Linked DNA regions of Caenorhabditis elegans. The protein of the gene in region 1 purifies or fractionates together with the protein of each later gene. This does not show direct contact. Each region holds a gene or a part of one and is shown on either strand. Other genes may lie near its edges.

Region 1 (7,589 bases):
TTGGTTTTGTTGGATATTGTTCAAAACGCATTTTGCCCAAAAAATAAATATTGAAACTTTACAAACATTATTTGTAGCCCCGTTCCATGCCTATTCCTATTTTCCGTTAAAAGCCAAAAATACAAATAAAAATGAAAAATCTGTTTTTCGAACAATGGTATTTTGGTCTCATCACACTTTTGACTCTTCTCAATTATGCTTCGAAATAGGAACGAATTCAAATTTAACTAATGGCACTTGGGGTGCATCTTCTTTTGAAACAGAAAACTGACCTTTCACCCAAATGAAAATTACATGAGCTTGTGAAGATGACACAGGTCAGTAAAAAGAAAAAAGTGCGTGGGTATTTCTTTCTCCATAATTCTTGAAATTTCATTGGAGATATTTTGAAGAGGTGGGCTCATCTAAACATTAAGCTTAAGATTTTTGAAATATTTGAAAGACCCAAAATAACTTACACAATCTTTTCAACAAAAAAAACTGTCATGAATTTTTATTTCTGAAAAGTCTCCAACATTGTCGACAAAGGAATTGATTTTTAATGTCTTCAAATAATTTAGAAGCCGACAAATCAAAACTGTTGATGCCCTTCGCTCATCTCTGATTTATCATCGTATTTCTCAATTTCCCGCGAAGTTCGAATTTAGACATGTTCCAAGGTCTCCGAAACTTTTCACCCCAGAACATCATACAAATATTTTATACAAGCTTGAAAAAATGTTACTAAGAAATTTTATCTCCAGCAACCTAACATATAGTTACTAGAAACATTGTTGGCTGCCAAGTTCTGAGAAACACTACAATTTTTAAAGTTTTTCCGAAAACTTTTTTAAATCTTTAAGTAACTTATCCATTCTCTCAGTTCTTGAAATATGTTAGTGACAAGTTTTAAATATTTTTCCCAAGCCTATCTTGCAAAACTCCTGAATTAGAATCATTATTCAAAGCCATGGGAAAATCAAGAATGCAACCACCACCGCAAATGCTCGATGTGAGCTTTCCCCAAAATTTGCATCCTCTACAACACTTCTTTTTCACCTGCCCTCCGAAAGAGCACCTCTTCTCTTCTTTTTTTTGCTCTGACGACGACATCTAACAAAAAATCAATTTTTTTTCGTTTTTCCAAGCGGTCCTTTCGTGTAGTCGACCCATTCGTATTATCATTCGATGCTTTTTCACTTCTTATTTTTCGTCGCTTTTGAATTGCATATAGCGTGTTTATCGCAACGAAAAACAGACAAAAAAGAAAGCAAATATGCAAAAACAAAAAAATACGAAGCCAATAAAAAATATCTATCTTCAATTGGAATTCGAATTTTCAATTCAAATTCAAACCTACTAAAACCTACTATTTTCCATAATTATAGATTCTCAAAGGTCTCCAAAGGAATGAGCCAAGAACAAAAAGTTGAGGAGAATACTGCACATTTCCCTTTCTATAACTTTTTCAAGATCTACTAAGATTTTTGACCCTTGGGATCCTCAAAGTTTTCAAAAAGTAATCCTGCTCTTCTCTAAATGACGTTTTTTTTTTTGTTTTCATCTGTTCAAAAAACCCCTTAACTAGTCGTCATTCTTGCCCTTGAATAATAGGATAATATGATTAATCTAATGTCATAATAATCTCCTCTTCGTCTCCCATATTTTTTCCCATACAAGGATTTCATTTTTACATCCGTGTTTCTCGTATCAGAATGTATTCTTCTTCTGGAAAAGTAAACAGACTCCTACATCTCTCGCCTCTTTCTGAAAAATTCTAATTATTTCGCTTCTGTAAACACATTTTCATCCGGGGTTTGCCTATTTTCCCATTCGACCCCCGACTCCGCCTCTTCATTCTCTCACGGAACCCTTTTCTTCGACGCTTTGCATCTTGATTTACCTCTGATTTCATTTATCAATCAAACTTTCAGTCACCATGGTGAAATTAGACTTTTCGTCGCAAGACGAAGAGAACGACGAAGACTTGACAAAAGAGTTTGTAAGGGATGAAGCACCAATGGAAGAAACAACATCGGAAGCAGTAAAGCAAATGTAAGTAGAAAAAGAAAAGAGCCATAATCTTTTAGAGATTGTATCTTTCTTTCCTAGACACACTCAGAAAATGAAAACTTTTGAGTTTCCAGTTCAAAGAACTAACAAAACCTGCGACAAATATTATGGAAAATGCCAAAAATTTGAAACCCCAAAAATATTAATTAATTAAATATTAAAAAATATTAATATCAGAAAACCTGAATTCTATATTTTTTGAAACAAACTAAAAATCGAGTAAAAAGGGGCAGCACTAATAAGAGAGGTACAGCCAGTAGAATCGACTAATCTAAATTCGCCTCTAACTTAAAGTTTTGAAATTTACTGGAAAAATTGTTCGGCACCCGGTGTCCCTTCAAGCTCAACTTATAAAAAAAATAAGCTTGATTTTAAATTAATTGTCAAATCTTTGCTGAGGCCGTTCTAAGCATTGCCCAATTTCGGTACACCTTTTAGCAATGTTTCGGCAAATCATTCTCAGGAATTACCAACTGGTTATATTTTTTATGTTGATCGTTCAAATTTTATGATGATTCAAATATTTTTTGGCTTCACTGCGACATTATTTATCTTCATATAAATTTTAAACGATTATTTTAATCTGCTAAGGGGAAGAAAACAGAAGAAAAGAAAAAACGACAAACCATAAAAGAAACGAGAAAAATCATATAAAATATGAAATCTGTGGGCGCTCATAAACATGCGATGTGATGTCATGATCGATTCATGAAGGAACAAATGTTGTTCATTTTCGATTGATTTATTGCATTCTGTGAATTTTTAAACAAAAATAAAATAATTTCAGAGCAACAACGACAAAGGAGACGCTGAAAGATGTGGTTGTAAATAAAGTGATTGATGTGAAAGACGTTGTGAAAGAAAAGGTTATGCAACAAACTGGGAGTGAGTCATTAATTATTGGTTGGAGAAAAATTGAAAGAAATAAACCTGAAGTTACCAAAACCCCTTAATCTTTTTATTTACTGAATAATCAATACAACTGTAATTGATTTTTGGTTCTCAATTTCGTTTTGAATTTTCGAAATATTTTGAATATTCCCAAACTCTTGAATCTCAACAAAATTTCATTGAAACAGAAAACCACAACATTGCTATATTACTATGATTGTGATTAAGCTTTTTTCGATGATCTTTTATATATTTTTTACCAGAAACTTTGAATTCTTGTAGACAGAAATATAGAATTTATAACAACCGGTGTCATTTTTCAAGCTGACGTCATTGGTCTAATATAATAGTACCGTTTTCATTAAAATTCCTGGAAATTTTCATACAAAGTGTTCATGTATACTCTTTCTCAAATTTTCTCATTGTCTTTCGGGGATCTAAAATCGTTTTTTTTTCTTCCAAAAAAACTGGATGCTCCATCCGTTTCACAGCTTCAGGCTGTGTCGATTGTAATTTGATATTTGGCTACCACGACAGCCTTTCTCTCTTTTTCCTTCTATTCCTCCCCATGCGCTGAATATTTTAGATTTTTTACTTTTCGAGTATTGAAAAGAAGAGAAAGTAGTAACCAGAATTGACGTGTATAGAAAGATGGCCCCAGAAAAGAAGAGCATGTGCCAAAAAAGTGGTAGATGTCCCTAGGGAGAGACGAAAAATTAGTAGAAAAAGAGAGATAGAGAAGTAAAAGCATGAAGAACAATAACACATTCATCACTGGACACTAAAAAAGTAGTTCGTTTATGAGTTGGCGGCTCCAATGCTCCAATGGACAACAAATACTGGTGACGAAAATAATTAGGATAGGGAAAAGAGATATTCTTTGGGGAATAAATATTATAGAGATATGCAAAAAATAAATAAATACATACATCTATTAATAACTTATAGATTTCAATTAAATAGTAAACAAAAACAAAAAAAAAGTATAGAGAAAAAAAACAGCTGAAAGTGAATTTAATATTAAAGTAAAGTTGGTTTATTTTCTATTTTTCTCTCAACTTTTTCATATCCCTTTTTACGAGAATTTCAGTGCCTGAATGGGCGTTCGTATTTCTTGGATTCGTATTTATTCTGCTGGTTCTCGCGTGTGCATTCTGTCTCATTCGGAAGTTATTTGGAAAAAAGCGGCATGGTGAGAAGAACAAAAAGGGTGGATTGAAAGGATTCTTTGGTAAAGGACAGGATGTCGTTGATGGAAAAAATATTCAAGGGGTATGTTTTTGAAATGAAAAATAATGATGAAAAACAAGGAAGGAAATATAATAAGTTACGGAATACCGTATTCGAGCGACTTTGCGAAACCAAACATGTAAACTTGGTTATGATAATCTAGAGCTCCCATGTATGCATGGAGGTGCAAGAGTATAATAGGCACGTAGGTAGGCAGGCAATTTTTTGCAAGTGACTCCAGGCATGCAAATGTCTTATTTCTGGATTTCTTCCTTGGATTTCTTGGTATTGTTCTAATTTTTAGTTTTTGATTCTTAGGAAAATTTTATCAAGAATTTTACAAAAAAAAATTCCCGACTTTTTTGAAAACAAAAATCCTTGATCTAACTCATTTCCTAGAGTTAAACCTAAAACATTTTACTTGGATTTTTTTGAAAAACTTTTTATCGGGATTTTGAACCTACGAATTTTTGAATCTCGTTTATTGCTAAAACATTTTTTTAGCCAACCTTGCTGAACTCTTCCTAATTTTATAGCCCCTCGAGGTAACTAATTGTAAAAGTTGAAAACATAAATAACGATTGTCTCGGTTTTTGAAATAAGTAGTACAAAGTTTTGATTTCTCTTAAGATTGGAATACAAATAAATTACTAACTGTCGTTCTAACTGGAGTTCAATGAAACAAATTATTGTTCTAATAATTGTTTTTGAGAGCATGCATATTTTTAAAATAGCGATCAGAATCTCTTGGGGAATATGTCAGAATCAGTAATAGAATTTCCAAACGATGACGACAGAATTTTCATCAAAATAGATTAAACATCAGTGTTGTCTAGTTTGATTTTGATAATTGTATAATTAATTTCAGATGGCTCAAGACTTGGAAGAACTTGGTGATGCGATGGAACAAAATGAAAAAGAACAAGCTGAAGAAAAAGAAGAAGTGAAACTTGGAAGGATACAATATAAACTTGATTATGATTTCCAACAAGGTCAACTAACTGTAACTGTAATTCAAGCAGAAGATTTACCAGGAATGGACATGTCAGGAACATCAGATCCATATGTAAAATTGTATTTGTTACCGGAGAAAAAGAAGAAGGTTGAGACGAAAGTACATCGAAAAACTCTTAATCCAGTATTCAATGAGACATTCATTTTTAAAGTCGCTTTCAACGAAATTACGGCAAAAACTCTTGTCTTTGCAATTTATGATTTCGATCGGTTCAGTAAGCACGATCAAATCGGACAAGTTCTCATTCCGCTTGGAAAAATTGATTTGGGAGCTGTTATCGAAGAATGGAAGGATATTGCACCACCACCAGATGACAAAGAAGCTGTAAGTTTTGTTTTTTTTAAATGTTAATTGAATTATCAAAAAGTAATTGAGAAATAGAAGCACCGTCTATGTAGAAACGAATCAGTTCAGTTGAAAATCTACTTCCAAAGTACACTATTTCAAATATTTATAAATACAACAATATAAATTTGAGAGCTATAACACCTATTATCCTTCCAGACGTAAAAAAATTTACAATGCGATTCTTTCTGACCTCACATTCTTTAATAGCGAATTCGAAATACTTTAATCATTTTTTTGACAACCCAAAAACCAAAAACAAATTCTAAAAATTCAGGAGAAGAGTCTTGGTGACATTTGCTTCTCACTTCGGTACGTCCCAACTGCTGGTAAATTGACAGTGGTCATTCTGGAAGCAAAAAATCTTAAGAAAATGGACGTCGGTGGTTTATCAGGTAACTTTTTTTTAATTAAAAAAATTATTGATCCTAATTCTAACAAAAATCTAAACTTTAAAATTATAAGATCCATATGTGAAATTGGAAATGTTCGGAGAAGATAGAAAACGATTGAAAAAGAAGAAAACGAATATCAAACGGAAAACTTTGAATCCATATTTTAATGAGAGTTTTGTATTTGACAAATTGCCATTGCATAAAATGAAGGTGATCTGGGAATTCATAAATTTGCGCTGAAACTAAACTATTCTATATCCCCAAATATTGCTGGCTTTAACCTTTCTAACTAAATCTAACATTTCATTTTCTGGGGTAATTTTCAGATCCTTATGTGAAGATTGTGTTGATGCAAGGTGGAAAACGACTGAAAAAGAAGAAGACATCAATCAAAAAGTGTACACTTAACCCATATTATAACGAATCGTTCAGCTTTGAAGTGCCTTTCGAACAAATTCAGGTGGCTTTTTCTAACATGTCTTTCTAACTTTTTCATTCAACTTCGAGACGATTTTTGAATATTTATTTTTTTTTAATATTTGCAGAAAGTTTCCCTTATGATCACTGTGATGGATTATGATAAACTTGGATCCAATGACGCTATTGGAAGGTGTCTATTGGGATGTAATGGAACCGGTGCCGAGCTGAGGTTTGCTTTTGTTTTTTTTTTTTAATAATTTTTTAAATGAAAGTCTAAAAATTCTTGCAAGTGACCACAGAAATATGGGTTTATTTTTAAAAGTGTTAACTGGTGACATATACATTTTGATAATTGGAAGTTCTAAGAAGTTTGGTTTATTTTTTTCAATTTTTCATAAATCTAATGTGATACCGAGACCATAAACAATGTTGCGAAATTCCTTTATCAACCTAAACAAAAGTATTCCAACTATTTCCAGGCATTGGATGGATATGTTGGCTTCACCACGTCGTCCAATTGCTCAATGGCATACACTTGGACCAGTTGAAGAAGAAGGTGATAAGAAAGATGATAAGAAATAAATGTATGACTTTATCATTTTTTTTAAATTTAAATGCCTTATTCAATCTAAATTTTTCACTTTTTTTTAATTCAAAGAGATATTATTTTTCCTGCTTGTCCTTTTTCGTTCAAAGTTTCAATTTCCCGATGTACATAGGATCTAGTCGCTGTGAAAATCCATGCATCAAATATTTTTATTTTATTTTTTTATAATGCAATGTGTAGAAATGAGTAGCAATTGTCAGTGCCAAGGCGGTGATTTAAATATTAATCTCTCTTTGTTTTCACTCTTCCAACATGTTCCTTATATACTCGAATTCAGAGTTTCTCCTTTTCTTAATTTATTTAACTTTTCCAATTTATTTATTCGTTAGATGTCTATTTTTTGGAAATTTGTGTTTTTTTCTGTCAATCTTGCTGACATAATTAAATTGCATCGTTTACACATTTTTCTTTTTGGTAAATAAATAACTTCTAAAACTGATTTTATAAAAAATATTTGATGTTTTGTTTCAAAACTATTTGATGTGCTGCAGATTGGAAATATGTATTAAATTTATTGCTGAATACATTTTTCTAACAAAAATTACTGAAGTTTGATTTGAAGTTTATCTGTTTAAGTCTACAGAAACCAAAGCAAATTCACATCTGTTTATTTGATACCGTTTTATGGAAAAGG
Region 2 (5,060 bases), on another chromosome or scaffold:
ATTAAGTAGAAGATTAGAACATATCAGCTTTTGATTATATGACACACTTTTTAGACCAAAAAAGTTACATTCTGTTAGAGGACATACCGCTTGAGTTTGACTATTTACGCAAAGTGAACATTTGTATGGCGAAATGAAGTTAAGAAAGCATTGTTCTTGAAAAGTGTAACTTAGGTCACTGTTTCAAAAAATTACCGACCTAGGTTCCAATAACATGCTACATCAACAGATATCAATACATTTGATTCTTTTAAAATGCCAACAGCTAATTCAAATTTCGAAACAGAACATTGATATTATATATTAGATCGTATTTCATTTTAACGAATCCTTACCTACTGAAAAATGCGTATTCGATGATTTTCCATTATAGCTTTTGTAAATTTACTACTGATATTTTTGATCAAGTGGGATACAACTGCTAAAGTCAACCAAGGGTCTCACGCTTACCGTACTTCTCTATTACACGAAAAAGTTATAGATAATTTTTTCAAAAGATTTTTCAAGTCTGCAAATTCTGATCTTTATTTTGTTCAATTTGTGAATATTCTTTCCCGTCAAAATCAGATTGAGAAAAAAAGGAAAAATTCAGTTAATTCGCAATTTCTCCTTCCCTTTCAGGCCTCTCGCTTTTCCTCCCGTCGTATCTATAATTGAATGTGCTAGTACTACCAATCGGTGTAGTTTTCGAAGAATGGATTCTACTTTTATGGATTTAGAAAACAATATTATTTGCACCATTTTAATAAATAGTCATGCAATTGGGGGCTTACAATTAGAGAATAGACTCGTGAAATATTAAAAAATCACTTATCTCATACATAAGCACTCAAAAGAAAAAGTAGAAGAAGAGTCTTGACATTCAAAATCGTCTCCACTTTCATTTTATTTTCCATATTTTCTTTCCAAACCCTTCCATTCTTTTTTAGGCATGACTCTTCGTATTTTATATGCATAGAAAGCCTAGGAGTAATAGCGGAAAAGGAGAGACAGGGCAGATTGATGGGTAGATTTCATGGGTTAGGCACCTTTTTGAAGATGGAAGAAACGAATGGAATGGATAATCTGAAAATCAATATATTCTTAGATTCAGTATTTCGTGTTTCGGCTGAAACCCAAACTACCGGTCCAAATATCCAAAATATCAAGTTTCCACTTGTTGACACACAAATTTTTCGTTTCTTCCGTTTCTTCTTGTCTTTTGCAAAACCTTTTTTGACTAAATGACGTAGTATATTGCCAAAATCTAAGTGAAAAAATAACCTTTCATAGTCTGTTTTGAAACAAAACTAAAATTGAGCCAATAGATTCAATGCCTAATCAATTTTTAATGAGGTGCATAGTGCAAGAAAAATAATAATATATGTATATACAGAAACAACCAATTTTTCTCTTATCTCAACTAAAAAAGTAGATAAATCTTTCTTTTATTTCAATATCTATACAAATATACCATACTTCCAATCTTGTTGCTAAAATTTGTTTTGCACTTATTAAGCCGAACAGTGTCTGACGAATCTTGTTTTATGACTCTCTAGTTAATGAATGTTTTGTGCATGTTTTGTCAAAAAACCCACAGGTACCATTAGATCACTTAAGGGAATACAAAAATGCCTTCAGTAATTTAATTCTATCAATTTTTTGAAATCCCTAACTTATCGAGAAAACTTGAAAATTTTTTTTTAACATAAGACATGGTCCCATACCGTTCCTGATTTTTCCCAAATTTTAAATAACCTAGACAGGCTCCAATTCTTTCATTTCTTGTCTATTTATTCATTAATCACAATGTCCCTATATTTTTAAGATTAGATGTCTTGGAGAGACCGTGATTTTGATCCACACGGTGGCCGAAATGCTTTCCGATTAACTGATGAATCGAAACAGTCATCTTCAGAACGAGCAGCTTCAATGAGAGCAATGCGTTCATTTACTCAATCAATTGAAGATGAAGGTCCACCAGAATTACCAGCTTCACTTGACATCGATATGATTGAAGGAGTCAGTATGAAAACATCTGATACAAATGACACAATCATTGAAGTTAAGCCTGGAAAGGTGGATCCTCAACTTGGAGAGACCCAGAAATATAAAATGGCAGTACCTGGTCCCGGGCACTCTGAACAAGAACAAGAACTTCACAAAAGTTTGATAAGGGACGAAGAAGAAGATGCAGAAGTTGAACAAGTATTTGCAGCATCTGCAGAACCAGTTGTGACACCTCCAAAAAGTTTGAACTTCGCTGAAACAGCTGAAGAACTTCGGCACGCGTATGATCAGAAAATTCGAAAAAGGCCTACAACTCCAACATCTGCGTGTGTTTTAGATGGAATCGCATTCTTTGCTGGAAGTGTTGATGGTTCTAATGATACAATTCCAACAGATGCAGAGAAAAAGATTAAAGTGTCGATTCCAAGTGGTCGAAGGAGAAAAACAGAGAATATGTCATATTCAGAATTTTACGAGTCGATGGCAAATCAGATACCCGGAGGTGGTGGTCGAAGGATGAGTCAATCTGGAAGAACAACTCCCCTTCATGACTATGAAGGAGATATTCTTGATGAAAATCCACAATACAAGGATAAAGTAAGTAATTAATTATTATTTTAAAAAACCGAATACAAAAAGAGTCTAGAGCAGATATGGACGGCAATTAGAATTTTCGACAATCCAGCAATTCTTCAATCGCCAAAAATTCCATTGCCGCCCAAACATGGCACAATTATTAAAAACTGCTTAAATTTGATTGTAAATTTTTTCGAAACTTGAAAAAGCTATTTATAAGTTTTTCAAAATTTAAAATTAGCCAATTCTGCTTCATGAATTGTCTGCTGTGCTCATTTTTCGGACACAGCTTATCAAGTTTATAAATATTTTGACATCAAATTCTTACTATCGTTCACATCTGAAAAGTTAAAAATGTCAAAATTATTTCCAAATCAAAAAATACTTGTTTATTCAGGCTCCTCCTGCTCCGGTTGTTCATCGAAGGTCAAGTATCGAATGGGAAAATTTCGCCGACATGGAAGGTACGTATAAATTTACTGCACAAAAAAATCCCGAAATGTATGAATATCGTCAGAATACATAGTTAAACGAACCGAAAAGAAAAAAGATTGTCAGAAAGAATCGTAATGGGAAAAAAGATGGGGAGCGGATATTGAGAAATGACGTTGAGATATTAAGAATTGAATGGAGCAATAGCTGAAGGGTGGAGCAAAATGGGACAACTAGACAAACATATCTAGATTCCGTAATTGTCTGTCACCATGCTTTGGAACCCTCAATTAGACATCACTTTCTCATTCAAATATCCTCAACGACTTCATCTCAACTTCTGCTGCAGCTCCCTGTTCCTTCAACGAAAAATACTTGCTCCCATTTGCTAATCCCCTGTCCTCCCTTGTCTTTCACCCTGCTTTGCATATTTTCTCCTTCACTTCCCATGCTCTCTCACGTCGTCAGAAGCACGTAAAAACTGAATTGATCATAGAAGGGGTCGAGCAAAGAGAGAAAAGGGAAGAGGAGTGCGGAACTCTTCACTTCTTTTCTCTCCGCTTCTTCATTTTTCACACTTTCTTTACCTCATCTGAAACGGAAGATGTGCCACTTCTACTGCTGAGCCTGCGTCGAGAGAAGGGGAAGCCATCGGTGAATTGAAACAGCAGCGATTTGGGAGAAAGAGTTGAGAGAGAGAGTTGGAACCAGTTTTCATTGTCCTCTTTTATTTTTACTTTTTCATATTTTCTACTACTGCTTTAAGTTTATTTAATTTGAAATCTAGATATCTGCAACAGAGCGTACACATGGAAAAACTTTCTCCAGCACTGGAGCAGGTAGTTTGATAGAACATTTTATTTCAGCTGTTCCATTGTGTAGAATTCAAAATTTATTTTACTTGCAACTGGTTTCTGTTCAAAAAAAAATCAGTGTTAAGCCATATTATTTGAAACGGCCACAGTCTTTCCAATACTTTTTGTAGGGTCAACTGTAATGGTTAAAGATTAAAAAAAACAAATTACAACCTTTTCAAGTTGTTACAAAAATATTATCCACAAATAGCAGTTTTAATGCCATTTATATACAAGTTAAACTTACCGTAGTTTCTCTATTAGTCTTGCACCTCTACGGACCAATCGAAAATTAGTCTTACAGCCTCTATTAGTATTGCACTCTATAATAGTCTTGCACTCTTTTTTTTCTAGATCAGCAATTTTTTTGTAACTTCAAAAAATTCGTCATTGTTTGGCTGAATTAAACTTAAAAGAGTTCAAACAATTGATAAAATAATGGGCAAGTATTTACTTTGCATGGTTTAGACTGTTTCTAGTCAAGTTTTTTGACGAGAAATTGCAAATTTTACAGAGCTTTTGGATCTTCGAAAATTAGTCTTGCAGCCTCTATTAGTCTCGCACCTCTAGGGATCGATTGAAAACTAGTCTTGCATGCAAGACTAATAGAGGAAATACGGTATAAGTATAATAACTACTTTTCAAAATATGATTCTGTGAAAATTTATTAATGTGTTCACTATTCCCCCTATTAACGAAGCACCTGCCTATTCTATTTCGTAAAGCTCATCTCTTGGTTAATTTTAATTATTTCGGATACTTTTCAACTGAAAAAATGTAAATATTTTGTCTATTGATAATTTTTTTGATAAACCCAAAGACAAAATCAACAATCTTGATTTTTCAAAATTTTTATAGATGAGAAGCAGATTTTTCCAAAATATAAAAGGTATATCTATTTTTGTTTTACTGCTCCCTCAAAAAATACTCTAAATATCAAGAAGACAAATCGTGCTCATTACAAATCAAGACTCCCTCTGTCTCCTTCCCCTCTTGCCAAAAATAATTATCATGCTCATTGAGCAGAACCCTCTGTCCTCAACGACTCATTTTTCCTTTCTATTTTCGATATTGTAGTATTTACATGACATAAGAAATCTTTGATGTGTATTGACTTCTGAAACTCAAATAATTTTGTATCTTGTATCTATTTAGCCGCTTAAATGATGTCATCATTTGTAACCTGGTGACGGGAAGTAGAGGAAGCGT

The links.
Region 2: the proteins of snt-1 (region 1) and unc-41 purify together in Caenorhabditis elegans (affinity purification with western blotting, with the first as the bait; one study listed by BioGRID). This does not show direct contact.

Annotation. Positions count from the first base shown.
Region 1 is NC_003280.10:6,809,050-6,816,638, forward strand, and holds snt-1 (C2 domain-containing protein), read left to right. Parts: upstream 1-1,918; coding exon 1,919-2,034; intron 2,035-2,839; coding exon 2,840-2,937; intron 2,938-4,033; coding exon 4,034-4,215; intron 4,216-5,041; coding exon 5,042-5,512; intron 5,513-5,810; coding exon 5,811-5,928; intron 5,929-5,998; coding exon 5,999-6,138; intron 6,139-6,254; coding exon of another isoform or gene 6,255-6,388; intron 6,389-6,473; coding exon 6,474-6,577; intron 6,578-6,827; coding exon 6,828-6,930; downstream 6,931-7,589. UniProt on the Caenorhabditis elegans protein: May have a regulatory role in the membrane interactions during trafficking of synaptic vesicles at the active zone of the synapse. It binds acidic phospholipids with a specificity that requires the presence of both an acidic head group and a diacyl backbone.
Region 2 is NC_003283.11:9,972,979-9,978,038, reverse strand, and holds the start of unc-41 (Putative stoned B-like protein), read left to right. Parts: upstream 1-1,800; 5' UTR 1,801-1,812; coding exon 1,813-2,586; intron 2,587-2,962; coding exon 2,963-3,029; intron 3,030-5,060. UniProt on the Caenorhabditis elegans protein: Potential adapter protein, which may be involved in endocytic vesicle recycling of synaptic vesicles.